Coturnix japonica: one gene and its partners. The protein of the gene in region 2 binds, or shares a complex with, the protein of the main gene of each other region. Links are inferred from orthologs where the notes say so. Each region holds a gene or a part of one and is shown on either strand. Other genes may lie near its edges. The genes, in order: CNTN4, PTPRG and contactin-6.

Region 1 (5,737 bases), about 4.9 Mb from region 2:
CATTATCGTGCTGATGGCTGACAGTGTGCAGGCGTTGGAGGTCGAAGGGCTGCCTCCTCTCGCGTACGCATCTGAGCAAAGAAAAAAGGGAGATCAGCAGAGAGCACTGCAAACCTTCAGCCCACAGCCCTGCCCATTCCCCATGCTCCACCACCACCCCTTCCTGCCCACTGAAATCTCCACTGCTGTTATTCTGAGGCTTCTCCCACATACTTCTTTACAGTTATTCAAGCTGTTATTAACGGCACCAGCCTGGCCCAATCCACATCCTAAAGGACGATCCTAAAGCATCCTATGGGGATACTCCTGCGTGGAGCCAAATAGGAACTGGCGTGCGCTCCTGCTCTGCTGTGTCTGCTGATGAAATCCCTCTGCAGGGTTAGTATGGCCACAGCACACAACCAGGGGGAGATAATTCTGCTCTCACACAGGGCTTTTCACATCGCTGTAATTTTAATGCCACATTCCTGCATTGCAGAGGCAGCTGATTTAATGCAGCTTATAAACTGCGGTATTATTAATGGAAGATGGGACATGGAGATTTTGCAAAAGCAATGTTGAGTAATAAAATACTCTCTTTTCTGTTTGTTCTTCTGCACAACCTCATTTCCCTAAATAAATATTTATGCATCCAACACAGAATGGAATATTGCTATATAGTAGCCTTATAAATTTAAAAGTCTCTGAACACTGCGTTTTATATTTTGTTATAGTGAGTTGCAGTGAAACAATATATTCAGTATATATGAGTATGGAAGTAGGAAGCAGAAAGTGTGTAGAAATCTTAAAACAGAACCGTAAGCGCTTATGACAGCATCTCTCATAGTTTAACCTTGGCTCAGGCTGGAGCTGGGACCCTGAGCTGTGCTGGATGCTGAATTTCTGCCCCCCCAGGGCATGATGCCCATGCCCAGGTCCCACTGGCTGCTCCTGGGGTGACACAGGGTAGAGGGGCACCTGCTCCCTGGCCTTACTCGAGATCTTTGGGATCCGGATCTGCTCGCTGCTGCTGCCATCGCCCCCGTCACTGAAGGGCTTTATCTCGATGATGTAGTCCTCATCAAAGGGCAGGGAGAGCTCCACCGAGGTCCTGTTGGTTTCAATCACAGATGCACTGCTCTGCCTGTTCCACCTGTACAAAACCTGTGGGAGAGCAATGAGGAAGCACAAACAGCAGAAGCACTCGTTGCTGTAGGAGCATCTGGTCTGACCACTGCTCTTCACACACCTCAAGTACCCAGTGACACCCAGACACACAGTCTGGTCACCAAGGTGCAGTCCTGACCCCAGCAGCCACTACTGCCCTCCCCACCTAAACTACTTCTTAAATTCACCTGCTAAGAACCACAAGTCCTATTAATTAGCACCACAAATTGTGGCATAATTCTGAAGATTTCCAGAAAAAAAAACACCAAAAATTGGGCAGTGTTTTGCTGTGAGCCGGGAAGGAATGTGAGTTATCCTAACCGTAAGTAAAGAAAGGAACTTTTAGACACCTGTGAGACAGATTCTGCCTTTTCAAGGGTATGAGAGGCTCTTTCACCTGTTTCAACTGACTTCTTAATTTGCATTTCAGACCAAAAATGTGTAGGGATGAGACAGTCTGAACTGCTGGGATTCATCTGGGGTTTCTGACTGAAAGCCCCGAGAAATTCCTTACTTTTGATTATTCAGCAGAGTGCATCAAAGATACTTAGAAGTGAGGGCAGACATGAGAGCTGGCACAAACACATGAGTCTGATGCTGCCAAACTGTGGGCTGTGAACAGAAAATGAAGCGTGCCCAGGTCCTTCACTGCTTCCAGCTCTGGTGGAAATGCTCACATAGCCCAGCCCCAGAGGCAATGGCTGGCATTCACTCACTGGTGTCTTCTTTGGGCCAAATTAAACCCTCGTGGAAGGTGATGGAGCTGAATTCTTCCCAAGATTTCTCTCTGGTTAAATTAAACCCTATTAAAACAGCTACTAATGAGGATTCTCTTTCTTTTCTTTTGGCTTTGCTTTCTGAAGAAAATAGAGCTATTAAAAAAGCATTTTATTTATCTGCAATTAAGGAGCTGGCTACAGCCTCTGGAAGGTTTCCACCCAAGGTCCTACTGTAAACCCCAAACTCAATACAGGATAATGAACATTCCCATTAAAGCCCAGTGCAAGAATTTGGGGACAGCCAATGCTCCATCAGGACTCCCTGCATGTCCCAATGGAGGCTGTGTATGACCCGTGCTGGCAAACACTCACTTTGTAGCCCCGCACTTCTGACTCATTATCCAGTGCTTTCACCTGGTCCCAGTTCAGTATGATCTTGGAGTCTGATGAGTTCCATATGATGTTCCCAGGGGGTTGACTTGGTGCTATGGCAAACCAGAGAAAGCATTCTGTGACTGTGGAGTGCCATTGGCAGTCAGATCCCTCCCCATACCCTTCCAACTTGTCCCATCCCAGCTTATGAGCTGATCTCCCTGAGGTCACAGCAGCTGTGACACTGCACTGTCTTCTGGCTGTAAAGGTATGCATTCAGGTGCTCAACATGCCCAAGACAAGAAGAAAAAAACCTCTTGAACAAGATAAATACTTAATGTTCCTACACAGCTGTGATTTTAATTTTGCAAGCTCTGCTTACTTAACATGGAGAAGAACCTTACCAAGAAATGGCTAATCCTTCTGCACAAAGAAAACAGCAAATAAATATCTCCCAGTTCCTTAGGCTCAATTAAAACTAGGAGAGCTGGCAGAGACCCTCTCCAGGCAGAGCACGGCCTACTGTCCTGAGCACTCACGTGGCTTTTTTGTCGTCACGTTGACCACGGCGCTGGACGGGCCGGTGCCAGCAGTGTTGTATGCCTTGACTGCCAGGTGATAGAGTGCATTGCCTTGCAAGTTGGTGACTTTGGCAGATGTCTGGTTACCAACTGTCCTGATCCTTCTCGCGTTCTCTTCCTTTTCGTCATGTCTCCAACACCTGACCTGCAAGACAAAGTGAGCGCTTCAACCCCAGCTGCAGGCAGGCAGCATCCTGGTGGTTCCTAGCTCTATGATACTTCTGCCCAAAGAGGTTCTCTGTGTCTCATCTGGGCAAGTCTTGCTGTTTTTCCCACCTCAGGGGAGATGCCAAGGATTAAACAGGATACCTTCTGTCCTTAAACTCGGGGCTGCTTATGACCACTGCTTTGGTCTGAGATGGAAGAAATGACCTGCAAACTATGGACTTTCCCAAGAAGCTTGCTGATGTCAGAGCAGCCTGTCTGGTCATCAGCACACACTGTCTGACCACAGCAAGTTCCCATCTGCATTTCACACAGACAGATGTGTCACCTTTTACCGCGGAAGAGAATGAACCTTTTCTTACTGCTGAAAGAGTAAGGCACTGCTCAGCAGGACCACACAGTAGGAGCAGTGCTGCCCCAAACTGCTTAGCACACAGCCCTGGAACCACGCCGTGGCTCCCTGCCTTACCTCATAGCCCTGTATCCTTCCTTTGTGCTGATTCTCTCGAGGAGGAGCCCAAGAAATTTCAATGTCTGTGGCAGAAAGGCTTCTGGCGAGAACTGTGACTGGAGCTCTGGTTGGCTCTGGGTAGAAGAGTTAAAAATAAAATCAGAGTTTTCAATTCTATGTTTAATTAGTCACTAACTTCAAGGGAATTTCATTATTGCATGCGAAAAGAGGCATGTGACAAAAACAAACTTTCCCATTTCAAAACAAAGCCCTGTCAGGCCTGTGCTAGACTGCACTTCCCCTTTGCAAGAGAAATAATAAATGTCATTACTAAGCCCAACCTAGGATACCATGTACAGTAATTAGGACAAGAGGGAACATTTTCTAATCAGTGGACATTAATTCATACTAAATCTCTGCTGAATTCTTTCCAGATTACATATTGCTTTTTCATTAATATCAAAAGATTTCATTACGATTAATGTTATTTTAATGACTATCAAAAGAATTAATCACGGTGCACCATTTATTATAAATCAGAGCAAGGATTAGGAATCAAAAAATGTCAATGCGGATGCTGAACCCTCTCTGATCCGCGGATGATGGCAAGGCGGGGGAGGGGGGATGGGCTCCTCACACTACCTTCCTCTGCCGAGTACACGACTGTCACGGGACTGAAGGAGCCTTCCCCCTTGTTATTGTACACCCCCACTTTCACTTCGTAGGGCGAGAAGGGCGGCAGGCTCTCGTTGCGGAAGACGTATCTGGAGGCGTCTGGCGAGGCCACGACGGTCTGCATCCAGCTGATGGTGCCGAAGGGGCGGAAGGCCACCACGTAGCCAAAGCCACCTCCGTTCTGCAGCTCCTCAGGCACGGTCTGTGGGCAGACAAAGCATGGAGAGGTGGCAAGTTGAGCAATTGCATTTATTTCCCTATTGCTTCTTGGTCCTTCCTAAGTCTAGGGTTAGCAGCTGGAAGCTCAAATGGGCCTATGGACACCCAAAGTTTCAATGTATGACAATATTCTGTAATGATGGGCCACTGTCCTGTGTGTCAAGGGGTTACTTTTGGTGGCGGCGTCGCTCTGCAGTCCAAGGCTCAAAAATATAAAATACCAGGCCATTAGAAAGATGGCCTCTGGATGTTTATGAGAATAAATTGACTGTTGTGTTGGAATACAAATTATATTCTGTGCAAATTATGAGTCAAAGTCACGGCTGATGTTCTTGTGTTTTTGAAACATATTGGAGTATCTGTAGGAGATGCAGCGAAACTAATTAGTCCAATGGAGGGGGAAATTTAGCACATTGAGCTGTGTGGTAAGGAGAAAAACCCATTTATAGTTTTTTAATAACCTTAAAAATATCTCTGGTGATTCATTCTGCCAGCTTGGTCAGGAACAGTGCTAAGTGGAAGTGTTAGCATGTCTAGTGAAGTTCATTATTAGGAAAAATACGCCAGCTGCATCACATCATAACATGAAAATACGAGCAGACAAATGACTAAAGTTCTAGCCCTGGCTGCCTTAAGGAATATTAAACATTCTTCATCTCTGCATCTCCTCTTGCTGGCTTTCATTAGCAGCAGTAAAAACCAGCGTGAATTGCATTGTGCTAACTCTTAACCATTTGCTGCCACATAACACAGCACCAAGGTAAGGGCTGAGGCTCAGGAGTTGCCCTTGGTTCGCAGCACCATATTCATTCTCCTCTTGGTTTGGTCTCCACTCACCTCCCACGTAATGACCAGCTCTGACTTGCTGCCTCCACCTCCACTGACATTGGCTGGGGTGACTTCAGGAACTGCAAAAAATTAAAACAAGATGCAGAACTGTAGATAGCACTGAAAACGCATGTGGGGATTCTGAAACCAGAGGAGTGTGTTGAAATGAACCAGCTACAGGACTCTGCTGGCCTTCCTCTGCTGGGTATCGGAAACATGAGCAAATGACTAATTTGCCACAGCAAACAGCACATTAAAAGTATGTCAATAATCGTATATGAAAAGTATGTCAATTAACTTGTGTATTCAGCCTCTAATTGTTTAGTTTAAACATTTATCTTCCATAAAAAGGGCTTTTACATATTTTCCTATTTCACAGCCCGTTCCATTACAGCCTAACATGGAGCAGAAGAACACATCCTCTATGAGCAGCTGGGGGACAAGACTGAATTCAGTTGCCTGCTGCTACTTACGAGCTTCTTCAGTTCTTCTGTTCTCCGATGGTCTGCTTGGCTCCCCTATCCCAATCAAGTTGGCAGCCACGACTCGAAACTCATACTCGACCCAAGGGTTGAGGCCCA
Region 2 (6,057 bases):
ATGTCAGAGGGAGAAGGAGTCAATGAGAACAGCTTTCCCCCGTGAGCAACATGCATGCACACACATTTACAAGTATGTAGTTTTCAATACTGTTAGTGAACTTTTGTTCTGCCATATTTCAATGACACTAACAACATTCTGGAGAGGAGCCAAGACCCATAGTTGGAGGTTTATTTTACCTGGGTAGCTTCAAGGATAAAGTCATGGATGATAATTTGCTCTTCGTTAGAGAGGCACAGTCTGTCTTTGCTGATAAGGGTCACAGTAAAGGCCTCACAGTTCATGGATTCCTCTCGACTTGGCCAGTACACAAACTCATCTTCTGCCTGGAGGAAAGGAAAAACACAGCACTGCTGACTTTCAGATACCTTGTGGGTGACTGAAACGTCCAGTGGATCAAAAAATTGGTTTGATACATAGAGATGATCAGGAGCTGACATTTAAAAGATATATTTTGTCTAAAACCAACTTACTATTAGTCTACTAGAAGTCATTAAGCTTGCCAGGCCCCTCTTTTGTGAGTCCAAACAGGTAACACTTGCTTTTTAATTGGTTTCACAGGGAAATGGTTCTCTTACCTCGCTTGTACTTAACCTTTGTGTCATATTACCTCCTGCCTACACAGTTTTTCAAAGAAGTTAGACACTTGTTTAGAAAAAACTCATTGACCTTTACAATTAATTGCTTACTATTCTGAATTTGTACCTATTGTGGTCTAAGCCACAACTCAAGGCTGTCAGTGGAAGGTCTTTGGATCAGATCTGGGTGGAGGATGGACATGAAGGGGTAGAATTTTTAAGGGTGGGAGAAGACGCTGTCTCAGTCCCCTTCCATCCCTCCCTGGAAGCCAACAACAGAAACCAATCAACGGACCAGAGCACAGACATTACTGCCCTACTAGACAGCCTCCATTCTGGGCTCACTGAAGATGAAAGCTGGCACCAAGCATCTTTGCAAGTGACACGGCTGAGTCCAGTGCCCCTCGTTTGCCCTTTAATCATTACTGTTCTGCAGAGACAGTCCAGAGACTTTTGAAGACAAGATCAACCTCTTCATTTCTACCTGTCACTCTCTGTTTCATTAGTACTTTCTGATTCAATCGTATTTCACTGAATGATCTTTGACCTGCATTTGTAATGCACATGGGAAGCATACAGAATGCTGACTCCCTAGTTTTATGACATGATATTTAGTATAATATTTATACTGCTGCCTCTCATGACTGCTATTTTTCAGCTGTAATGGAGGTGGTTTCTCTACCATTCTCAGCTGCAATTGTCTGTGCACCTTAATGATGCATGTATGAAAAAAACACATTTAATTCTTAATCCTTTTGCAGTGTCCTCTTGAGATATGTTAGTAAACCTGGAAGTACTGATTAGCACTTCACTTGTGTCACCTGCTTCTCTCTCTTTGTCTCACAAATTAACATACATGTTAAGCTTACGTTAAAATAACTTCTGTAATCTTGCATAGCCTTAAATCCTGCATGGCCTCAGACTCCTGGAAACAAGCAACTTTTCTAATGTCTTTGCTTTGCATTTTTGCTCCTCTCAAAGTCCTTGCCCTAGTCTTTTATAGCACGCTTAAGGCAAAGTTTAAGAGGGTGACTTGTAAACTGGCTTTGCTTTCAAAAGAAAGTAACTACAGCGTGTAAAGAAATGACCGAGGGGATGTTCAGGCTGGACATTAAGAAAGATGTTTTCTTATAAAGAGTGGTTAGGTATCTGAACAGGCTGCCCGGGGAGGTGGGGGAGTCACCATCCCTGCAGGTGCTCAAGAAAATGGTAGATGCTGCACTTAGTGACGTGGTTTAGTGGGCACAGTGGTGATGGGTTGATGGCTGGACTTGAGGATCTTAGTAGTCTTTTCAAACCTTAATGACTCAGTGACTCTACAGTGGCCTGCTGAGCTAAGTCACTGCTGTACGACAGGGAAGGAGGTGTTTCACTCACCAGGCTCTGGTTGTCCGGCAGCATGACGATGATCTGCGCGTTGTGATCCCAGATCATTCGCCAGAAATCTTTAGTTGTATGTGGCAGCGGATGCTGGGTTATGATGAACTCGTTACTCCTGTAGTAGCCCTTTTCCAGCAAAACAAACCACAGTTACTTATTGCCTTCAATACTTCTGAAGCATTAATTTTATCTCTGGGGACACACGACAACCCTATATCATTCTATATCACAACATTTTTGCACTGACTGTAATTCCGTAATGCCATTTCCAGCCTGCAAAGTCCCTGTTGTTTTCACTTACTCTAAATCCCAGTATTTATTTGACTGTACCTCTGGAAAATATGCATCTAGTATTTAATTTTCTTAAGCAACAATCTTTAATAAAACACAGTTAATAGCTTTACATTATGGGGAAGGTGTTAAAATCTCATCCGCTCATACGCAGCCATTACATACAGAATTAAGACAATTATAGGCATCTGGTATTTAGCACCTCAGAATTGATTTTACTTTGTAATTAGATGTTGGCTTCCTCACCATGATGTAAGAGGCATTAATGTAATCAGTCCCCTTCATTCCAGGCAGTGGTGCCAAGCCCACTCTCGCACGCTCAGCTACAGGACAAAGATAAAAAGAAGAAGAACATCAAAGTCTGGTCATGGCCCATTGCAGAAAGCAGGAATTTCTCAGACGTTAACAAACCAAACACTGCAGCTCCCATCTCCTGCAGGAGCAGGCCAGCACTTAACCGTGTTAAAGCACTGCCTGCTAACCAAAATATAAAAGAGAACGCTGCACAATATTCCCACAAGGACAAAGTAATTTCAGGAATCAAATTTTACTATAGCAAAGATTTTCACAGCAGGCTGAATTACCGAATAACAGTATATGCAGTGATAACAGGGGATTTCAGGTAATTTTTGACTGTAGCATTCTATTTGTTTCTAGCAGCACAAAAACCCAGGTAACTGATTTTGCTTTCCCTACCACTACATAGCACAACCACCGCTCATTCCTCCCATCTGAAAGGTGAGATAACCTTCTTAGATAAAACCCTTCCATCAGGAGGAACAACCCAGAAGCGAGTGAGTGTTCCTCAGCAGGTCTGCACTGCTTAGTGTTTGAGGGTTGGGTTCAGTGACATCACCTGGACATCCAACAGGCTCCTACTGCCAAACTGAAATCACTGCAGCTCCATAACACAATCTGCTAAATCATACAGGCTATTTCAGTCAATTCTCCTTCATTTATAACACATTTCCTGATGATTTTCTTGTTGTTACCAAACTTCACAATGGACTAAATCTGTGCCCACACAGCGCTGCACTACTTTGAGTACTGCTTGTCCTGTATGCCCTGTGCTCTGGGCAATGTGATGGGAATGATGTCGTGACTATGCTTAGTCTTAGCAAGTTCACACTGCCTGGAAACTGTGCACAGATTCCATATTAACGATCGTGAAACTGTGGCCTTGGGCACTAAACACCCTCAAATCTGAGGAAGGCTTGCACACAGAAACTGAATGTACTATAAAGTTAAGTAAATCATAAAAACACTTGTGCCAATCACCCCGGGAGATCTCACCTGAGCTGGGAGCTCCATCAAATTATGACAGTAATCCATAGATTTATCCTCCACCTAATTATTCAAATTCTTAAGCACTTCACATTAACATTCCACTTGGGCAGGATATCTAACTGACACCATAACTATTTTCTTACATTCAGTTTCATCAGAGTAATTCCTCAAGACAAGACAGCTTGGCCTATATAGATCACATTTCTTCCTAGTGGCTACGCCTTTTCATGCATAACAGAGAGTGCTCACTACCAAAAGTGATGCTAGGTGGTAACCAAACCAAAGATGCGATCTTACATGGCACGACTGATGAGTTCCTGTTCTTCTCTTTGTTGCAGTCTTTCTGAGCACTGAAGCATTCCACATATTTTGCATTACACTGTGTAACCAGCTGAAAGAGAATAAAGCAGTAAGTCAGTCCTCACAGCCCTCTAAATGAAGAGAGGTGGTTTCTTTGCCAACTCCTGGGAAGAAGCAGCAGTAGAAGAACACACCGCGTTGTTAAACTTGTTTAAAGTACTCCGGATGCCGATGGAAATCATCCTTTTCATACAATTTGTTTAATGGCTAAAAAGATCACTACAGCTCTCAGCTTTGAAGCATCCTGAAAATGAAGTTCCATCCCAATGCATTTTCACAGAGCAGTACGTTTCGTTACCTTCGAGAATATATTTCAAAGACTTGGAGATACGTTCAGTTGGAAGCAGGTCTGGGGGAAGAACAGCTAGCAAAATAAAACTATGACCAAAAAAACCCCAAACTTTTATGTTTTCTTTCAAACTGAAAGCAAGGCAATTCCTGTAGAATGCCTTTTTAGTTTTTATTTTTATTTTCCTCTGCCAGGCCTTTTGGGAACCCAACACACCAGCAGCAGGGATTTGAGGCTGAGAGTTGTATTATCCGGTCAGCTAAATTCATTCCGGGCAAAATGAAAAGTCAGGGAGGCAGATTTGTCTTTGAATATTCCCCCGGCGTATGGGGAGCTCTCCCAGAGCAAGAAGGGTGAAGGTGGCTTTCCCATCTCCTGCAGTAGCGACTCATTACTCAGTGTAATTTTACTCTCAGTTGGTAAAACCAAACATCTGTATCATGGCACGAGTTATTTTCTGCCAGCTCTGAGCTGGCAGCAGAAATCAGGGATTTAATAATCACTGCTTTCTTAGTCCCAGTTTCAAACCCACTCTAATCACAACAGCACGTAACTCATCTACATACTAGTATTGCTACACTGGAAGTTTCAGTTTCTAAACACTCGTGCAGCCCTAGCAGAGTAAGTCATTTTGGAAAATGGCACTTCAAACGTGCAAATTCTGCCATAAGCCGTAAGAAAACCTCTCCATCCTTATAGCTTGATATGTTTTATAGACGTGGAATCTTTCTTTTCTAGTCAAATGCCTTTTTCTCCTGCATGTGTGTGCACACTCCTGTTCTTGTTTCTTTGACTTTGTAATTAAGCACTTGGAATGTCTTTCTCGATTGAGAGTACTGACATTTCTACAAGTGAATTCTGAGACTACCTTGTTCATTTTTTGGATAGCTTTGCACCTGTTAAAATTTAACAGTTTCAGTTCCTTATGTGGTTAATAAACTGAGTTCAGGTGTGAAAACAGACATCATGTATGATCATATGAAACACAGTCCCAGAAACAAGTTAGAAATGCATTCAAAAAATGCAATCGGAAAATTGTAGGTTTTGTATAGATCAAAGCAAATAATTTTACTTTGGCCATGACAAATGCAGCTATAAAACAGTAGGGAAAAGCAGCAAGCATGGCTATTAGCATTGAGAAAGGCACATTGTGTTTCCTGGCACTGAAGTATTTTAAATTACTTATTTACAACATGGAAATAGCAAGTTGCACAAAGAACCTCAGCTCATTTCTTTCTCCATATATATACATAAGAATCACAGTTTTGAGGAAGACCTCTGGCCAAGTTACCCACAGGCCCGGGAATGCCCAACTCCTTTGAAAAGGGGAGACTGTCAGCAGCACGCTTCAAAGCGCTGCTCGTGTTCCACTTTGCATCTTTGACTTCAAGAGCATCAGAGCTGATTTCCAACAGCATGGCTGACTTGTTGAGCCCTGATGCTGTGCTGTGCTAATCACGTGTTCTGGTTAGGTTCATTATCTCTGACAATGAACAGGGAAGGCACACCAAGCAACACAAAGCGGAGAAATTAGGTCCCTCTGGATGGGAGTGATAAGCCTTACCTTGAACTGTTTTTCTAATCGTGTCTTTCCTCCTATGCCAGGTATGAGGATGCTGTTAACGTAACTATGCAGCTGGTTTGCAGATACTTCAGTCTCCTTCCCAAGGATGGCTTCCAACAAGGCATCATGAATAAAAATGTACTGCTCCTAGATAAACAAAGCATGTCAAGTAAGCACTTGAAATAAACTGCATGGCTGGCTTTAACTGGGGGGTAGAGCACTAAAGGAGGGAATGCAAAACAAACCATCCATGCAAATATGGCCAAACATAAAAGAAACCTTTCACAAGTGTTAACACACACAACTCT
Region 3 (6,012 bases), about 4.3 Mb from region 2:
TTATGGTTGAAAAGGTTTATATAGCTTTTGACTGCTGGAAACCCTGTAAAGTTCTGTTTGATCTGCATTTAAAAAATAAAATTAAATTAAAAAAAATAAAGCCAGACAGCTTTCCCTGCCAGAATATGGTAATTGTTCAAAATGAAATGTCAATGTCAATGAAATTTTGTTCTGAAAGAAAACTGGGCAAAAAATACAACATTTTGGTAACATTTAAATGTTCTATCTTGACCTTTAGGAACAGACTGTTTTGATATTCATTTTTGTCTTCGCTGTGTCATTTGTAAAAGATATAGGCATAATCTTCAATACATGATAATATGTTTCAGAAAATGAAAATCAGAACTAACCAGCTTTTAATAGGAACACAGTGCAGAATTTCAGAAGTTCAAAGTTCAAACATATTTGTTACAGTACTTTCCAAGTGAAAATATTGGATCTTGAAGTGAATAATCTATCTTTAGTGGGGACATCTTTGTTTTCATTCCCAATTGGAAATGAGAACACTCTAAAAGCAAACCAGTGACAAGAAGCAAGGGTTAATCAGTTATAACCAACTCTTGGTCTATTTACACTTGATGCAACTTTTAAAAAGCACTCTCATTATTTAAAAACAATAATAATAATGAGGAAATACTTATATTCCATTTCAAATTGTATTCCTAATTAAAAGCAGGACTGCTAATTACAATGCCTGTCTACTTTGGAAGGTGCTGCAAGGCTTAATTAATTGTCAGTGAAGTCATTTGAGATGCTCGCACAATGGACACGTAAGATTGGTTATGTTAATCAGGTGGATGGCTCTGTGAGCTGTGCATCAAGAGGGGACTGATCCAGTCATGTCCCTGTGGTGCTGGTGAAGGATGTACCTACAGCCCATGAGATCCTGTGGACCTGTTGCCTCCATCTTACAAAGGGAAGTTTAGGAATCTGAGGCATTTCCTGGGCAGCTCTTTGCAAGGGTTGAGTAGAATCCAGATCTCTTGAAACAAGCCTGAAGCACCATCCTTCTGTACAGACAAATTAAAGAAACCTCCTCCAGCCCTCTACTTTTAGGCGGCACATCTTTAACTTCTCTCCGAGCATTACTTCATTTGTCTTCAAAGCTGTCTCAATAGCCACGTCCAGTTAGAGCAAACTCAGTGCATCTCAGCAGTGCCTTTGAATGGGCTGGTCACAAGTCCAAAGAGAAACCCACTGCACCCCTCCATGACCAGAACACATGGATGGAGGGAAGCAGCAGCCTGAAAGGATAGGTATGGTGGCAGAAGGGACATCACTCAGCTTACAGCTGGGGTGAATGCCAACCAAGTCATGTAGAGGTGTGCACCTCCTCTTCTGCAGACTGAGATGTTTTGTCTGCTCCAGGCACCTGTGTACTGCTGTGTGTTTTTGCCACCTGACTTCCACTTCCTCTCCACTTTGCCAATGCTCAGACAGGCATGCAATTAATCCCATTACAAACTAATGGATTTACACCACGATTACATTAAAACGTGGTGAAGCAGTGCCTGTGACACAACTGTACTTTTCTTGGCAGGAACATTCTGAAAACTGCTCTTTCCACTTCCATCCCTCGTGAATACAAATAACTTTTGCTTACTAACGGAAAGTCATTTCCCTGTCTGAGCTTTGCATTTGATCTCTGCTGAAGCAGTCTCAAGAGGAAAAACGGAAATCTAAGAAGTTTGTGTGTAATAAGGATTTATGTCTCTGCTTCTTCAAACAAACAAGCCTTTTTTGTTGTTGTTTTGCTTTTCAATATGCAAAATATGAGGGGCATTTAAATGCTTCAGGACGACAGTCAGCGCTGGGATACAGCGACTCAGCTCCCATGTGATGGGCTTCGTATTATGGAGTTCAGGAAGTGACTGTGTAACCCGGGACTAAACAAAATATTTCTACTCCTGTTCTAAACCCAATACTGAGTGTGACCCAATTTCCAGGTAGGGAGGTTTTCTGATTACCTGACAGGAGCTCCTATTTGTAGGAAAAGAATAGCAAGAGCACATTTAATCTTTCATGCTACGAGTCTGACAGCTGTGTTTTCACTCTCAGCTTGCTTGAAGGATGATCAGTGAAGAGCTAATTTTCCTACGTTCAAGATTTGCAGATAGGAATATGCATACACTGTAGTACCTGTTTATCTGCTTCAAGCATTAATTGTGTGGGTTCTAGCACGAGTGCAGCAGGAAAGCAGTGTATTTCATGGTTAATACCAGTGAAGAGACACGCAATGCTCAGTGGATAAAAGGCTTCTAGTCCCAGCTGGGAAAATAGTTCCATTATCTCCCAGCTGCATAGACCTTCCATACGGCTCCGTTCTGCCTCGATGAACACTGTGCCTTGCTGAGAGCTTGAAACAGTTCTGCAGAAAATTGTAAAGATCCTGAGACATTTCACTGTTAAGATCTGTAAGTACAGAATTGTGCTGTCTACTGCAATGTGAATAATGCTGGGGGAACTGTCTTTTTTTTGTTGTTGTTTTGGTTTAAAATCAGTATTTTTTCATTAGCATAAGGGGTAGAGAATGAAGAAAATTCACTGCTTTATTTATGTTTTTCTATCTCTAAATGGCTGATGGTCCAAATGTATACATTTTTGGAAGAGACAAATATATACATAATGAATTTGTATGCATGCGAGGTCTGAGTCAAACAGAGTAGGAGACTGTGCTGGTAACAGACACTACAGGTATATTTTTTGAGAGTATCACAGCTCACTGCTGCAGTAACACGGATAACACAGAGGATGACAGTGCTAATTTTGCCACTTTCATAAGACTTTGTGCAGCATATAAATAACGAGGTGGGTAATGAGAGACCAATCGAATTTCTACCAGCTGAAGGTGTAAAAGCAATCAACATAAATCCTAAGAAAATTTAAGCAAGCCTTTAAAGGAAGCCTTTCCTCTTGCTTGTTTTAACAATTAAAAAAGTCAAGGTAACAGCATTCTGTTTTTGCAAGATGTGCAAAGGTTTATTTTTGACCCTGTCATTTACTTACAGAGTATGACACAGCCATAAAGAAATGTGACGCTTTATAAAAAGTTTTGGAAGTCCACATTTGCAGAAGCAACTGCTTGACTAGCGCCTTCTGTTAAACCATGTACTCCCATGGTGCTCTTTAGGCAAACACCTCGACTCAGACAGTTGTTGCATGTCTGAAGGGTCTCCTCCAGCAGCCTCTAAACCATCAGGCTGAATGCTAACAATTTCCTGCAGCACTTAAGCACCTGAATGATTAAACAAGAGGCAAACACTCTGCACCCTATTTAAATAAGTTGCTTGTCCTTTTGACAAGGCTGCAGCCAATTTCAGGTAAATATAACGAGTTAAAAGAATCAGACTATTTATGAAATAGCATTTCCTCCACCCTTTTTATTCTCTTCCTCCCAAGAGGGTCGAAGTGCCACACCAGCAATTCTTCAAGTTTTACAAGTTCACTGAGTTGTGTGTATGTATGTAAACTCTGCAGCATTTGTAATTCCAGGCACCACACCACCACAAAGAACCCATCCCCATCAGCCAGCTTTTGTTTTGGTGCTCCTGAGGCACTATATCAGTGTTTCACGTTCCATGAGTCCCTGCTTGAGAGGTTTTATGACATTAAAAAGTCCCAACTCAGTACCTGGAGGAAGTTAGCAACTATTGTATATCAAATTTTATTGTTTAAAAAAGAAAAATAAAACACTCCAACGTATCCAGCTATAGTTTTCAAATGGTGGTGAGGTACTGATTGCTATGTATTAGGTGTGTTACCTTCCATGCTGAGGATGAAATTATAATAATATATAACAATGTAAGTGCTTTAAATCAAAGAAGAGACGTGTTTCTTCCAGCTCTTCAGTCAGTATTAGAAAGGTTTGTGGTGCATAGTAGGCTCCCCTAAAACTAATTTCTTGCTGCTGAAGCAAATATTGCAATCACAAAACAAGGTGCCAGCATCCCCAAAAGGACCTGAAATACAAAGTTGTGCATTTGCATTACATGCCCATAAAACACTATTTGTAACTGGGCAGGAAATTTCCATTAGGTTTATCTCTGTATTGGAAGTATATAGGACTACATCAACTCTTCAAAATGACATTCAGTGATCTTTTCCCCCTCAGCCCAGAAGCTGAATTAACTCCACGTTACCAAAAGACAATATTCCTTTTGTTTAAGATTAGGACTGACTTCATTGCAAAGGGTTGCTGCTGCTTGCCTGCTCACAGTCCCTCCTCAACCCAGCCAGCTGCCTTCAGGCCCCACTCACGGCAACCATGCCCCAAACCCACCTCTACCCACGTGAACTCCAGAGGAGGGAAAAAAAATGCCAAAACCCCTTTTATCCTTCTTATCAAAGGCTGCACTCAGCGTGGATTAGAGCTAGGTATGAGGGCACGTTTGCAGCTTGGTCTGCTAGGCGCGAAGCAATCTCTTTACAAAACAAAGGCTCAAGTAACTTCAGACAGTTTTCCAACCACACAGATACCTGCACTGGTAATTTATCTCTGGGATACCAAAAACCCAGCATTGTGGGAAAACAGCACTCTGTAACACCCTTATTTCCGCTCCAAACCTAGCACACTTCTGTAAGGCCTTCTTATGAACACACAAACTTTCTATAAATGCAGAATACTCAGGGAAAAAAAGTAGTCTGCGCCGCTGGAAAAGTAACTTTGAAAAGCTGAAGCATCAGAAAGAAAACCAACCCACATCACGGTAAATCAGAACGTGGCACTTACAGTTCTGTGCCTTGTCAGGGGAACAACCAGATGCGGCCCAAGGCAGAACACCAAGGCTGCTGCTGAGCAGACCAGCTCAGCTCTGAGAGAGGTGACAGCAGGATATTGCTACACAAAATGTAACAACAGCTAAATATGAGGATCTGGATCTACCGGATTGAAACACTTGGAGATTTCCAGGCTGAGGAGCTGGGCTCTGCCAGCTCACACCTGCAGCTCCTCGGCTGAGCAGGTCAGGCCCAGCTGTTCTGCCCCCCAGCAGATAATTAACAGCTCTTAACAACCCATTAATGGGCAGTAATTCATCTTACACAACTGTTGATTTGCTGTTGCTGTAGGAAGCATGTGGGGGTGGATAACCTAGGCCTGCAGTGAGGGCTTTTTCTCCTCTCTGCGTGGACGTTTCTGTTGCATTGCGGTATGCTGAAATCTTCTAGGATTCTTTCCCAGAATATTTGCTTAACTTTAGAAAACATGGGAAGGGCACAGCGGGAGAAACACCTGTCTTAAAATGGTCTTTCCTGAGCTCTCCTGGATTTGCAAGTGGCTTTGGACCTGCCTTGCCCTGTGCTTTACTTCTTCCTCATTAAGATGCACAGTCGTCCCCTGGTGCCATCTCAAAGACAGGATTTGTATGTCTGCAAGATATAGAACAGAGCTGAGAAGGACCAGCCTCGAATCACCAGAAGGACAGAGCTGTGAGCTGCTGACACGAGCAGAGAAAAGCAGCTCCTCCGCTGGTAGGTACACGATTGCATTTTCACAAGTGCAGCAGTCTCCGTGCTCTGCTGGAGGACAGGAGACAGATGATCCCTCCTGCACTGCTGGCAGCAGCTGTGCAACATTTAATCAGGTTGCGTGTTATTGGCATATTTCCTGGTCGGCTTACTTTGTTTTGTCCTCGATAACTTAGTGCTTTAAACTCCCCATGTCAGTGTCTCCAGGCTGCTGCTGCTCCTCCTTGTCCTCCTGCCAGCACCCGGAGCAGGCTGGGCTGAGGACAGTACTAACATCATGCTATATGCTCTTCTGGGCTCAGTAAAGAGGCTTGCTGACAGTCGGTTTAAGTATCCAGTCTGCCATGCCTGTTTTTTGGGGGGCTTTTATGTGGGATTGTTTGTATTTTGGCTTTCCTGCAAGAGAAAAATGTGTAGCATACAGAATAGCAAGAGAGAGACAGGAACAGGGGGGAGGTGGAAGGAGAGAAGAGTGATATTACTCTCTTAGTCCCTCTAATATGTTTATAGCCTATAAAGGCCCCCTCCCCCCCAAAGAAAGATAAA

Evidence for each region.
Region 1: the proteins of PTPRG (region 2) and CNTN4 are in contact, whole or in part, in a crystal structure (PDB 3KLD), measured with the Mus musculus proteins. The link is inferred for Coturnix japonica from reciprocal best matches to the Homo sapiens genes PTPRG and CNTN4. Residues at the interface, in NP_033007.2 of Mus musculus: Lys222, Val225, His226, His227, Lys229, Phe288, Thr290, Gln293, Asp294, His295, Val296, Lys297, Ser298, Val299, Glu300, Tyr301; in NP_001103219.1 of Mus musculus: Thr128, Arg129, Ser130, Val132, Ser133, Arg135, Gln138, Gly139, Met140, Val141, Leu142, Leu143, Cys144, Gly145, Val219, Met220, Gly221, Glu222, Tyr223, Glu224, Pro225, Lys226, Glu228, Leu250, Asn304.
Region 3: the proteins of PTPRG (region 2) and contactin-6 are in contact, whole or in part, in a crystal structure (PDB 5E5U), measured with the Mus musculus proteins. The link is inferred for Coturnix japonica from reciprocal best matches to the Homo sapiens genes PTPRG and CNTN6. Residues at the interface, in NP_033007.2 of Mus musculus: Val225, His226, His227, Lys229, Phe288, Thr290, Gln292, Gln293, Asp294, His295, Val296, Lys297, Ser298, Val299, Glu300, Tyr301; in NP_059079.2 of Mus musculus: Arg129, Val132, Arg135, Gln138, Gly139, Val140, Val141, Leu142, Leu143, Cys144, Gly145, Met222, Gly223, Tyr225, Glu226, Pro227, Lys228, Glu230, Leu252, Asn306.

The regions. Positions count from the first base shown.
Region 1 is NC_029527.1:15,462,317-15,468,053, reverse strand, and holds part of CNTN4 (contactin-4), read right to left. Parts: coding exon 5,630-5,737; intron 5,237-5,629; coding exon 5,166-5,236; intron 4,312-5,165; coding exon 4,077-4,311; intron 3,569-4,076; coding exon 3,453-3,568; intron 2,964-3,452; coding exon 2,777-2,963; intron 2,351-2,776; coding exon 2,238-2,350; intron 1,144-2,237; coding exon 975-1,143; intron 72-974; coding exon 1-71. UniProt on the Homo sapiens protein: Contactins mediate cell surface interactions during nervous system development. Has some neurite outgrowth-promoting activity. May be involved in synaptogenesis.
Region 2 is NC_029527.1:10,565,606-10,571,662, reverse strand, and holds part of PTPRG (receptor-type tyrosine-protein phosphatase gamma), read right to left. Parts: intron 5,897-6,057; coding exon 5,750-5,896; intron 3,928-5,749; coding exon 3,834-3,927; intron 2,573-3,833; coding exon 2,496-2,572; intron 2,085-2,495; coding exon 1,956-2,084; intron 327-1,955; coding exon 180-326; intron 1-179.
Region 3 is NC_029527.1:14,910,122-14,916,133, forward strand, and holds the start of contactin-6, read left to right. Parts: upstream 1-1,651; 5' UTR 1,652-2,414; intron 2,415-6,012. UniProt on the Homo sapiens protein: Contactins mediate cell surface interactions during nervous system development. Participates in oligodendrocytes generation by acting as a ligand of NOTCH1.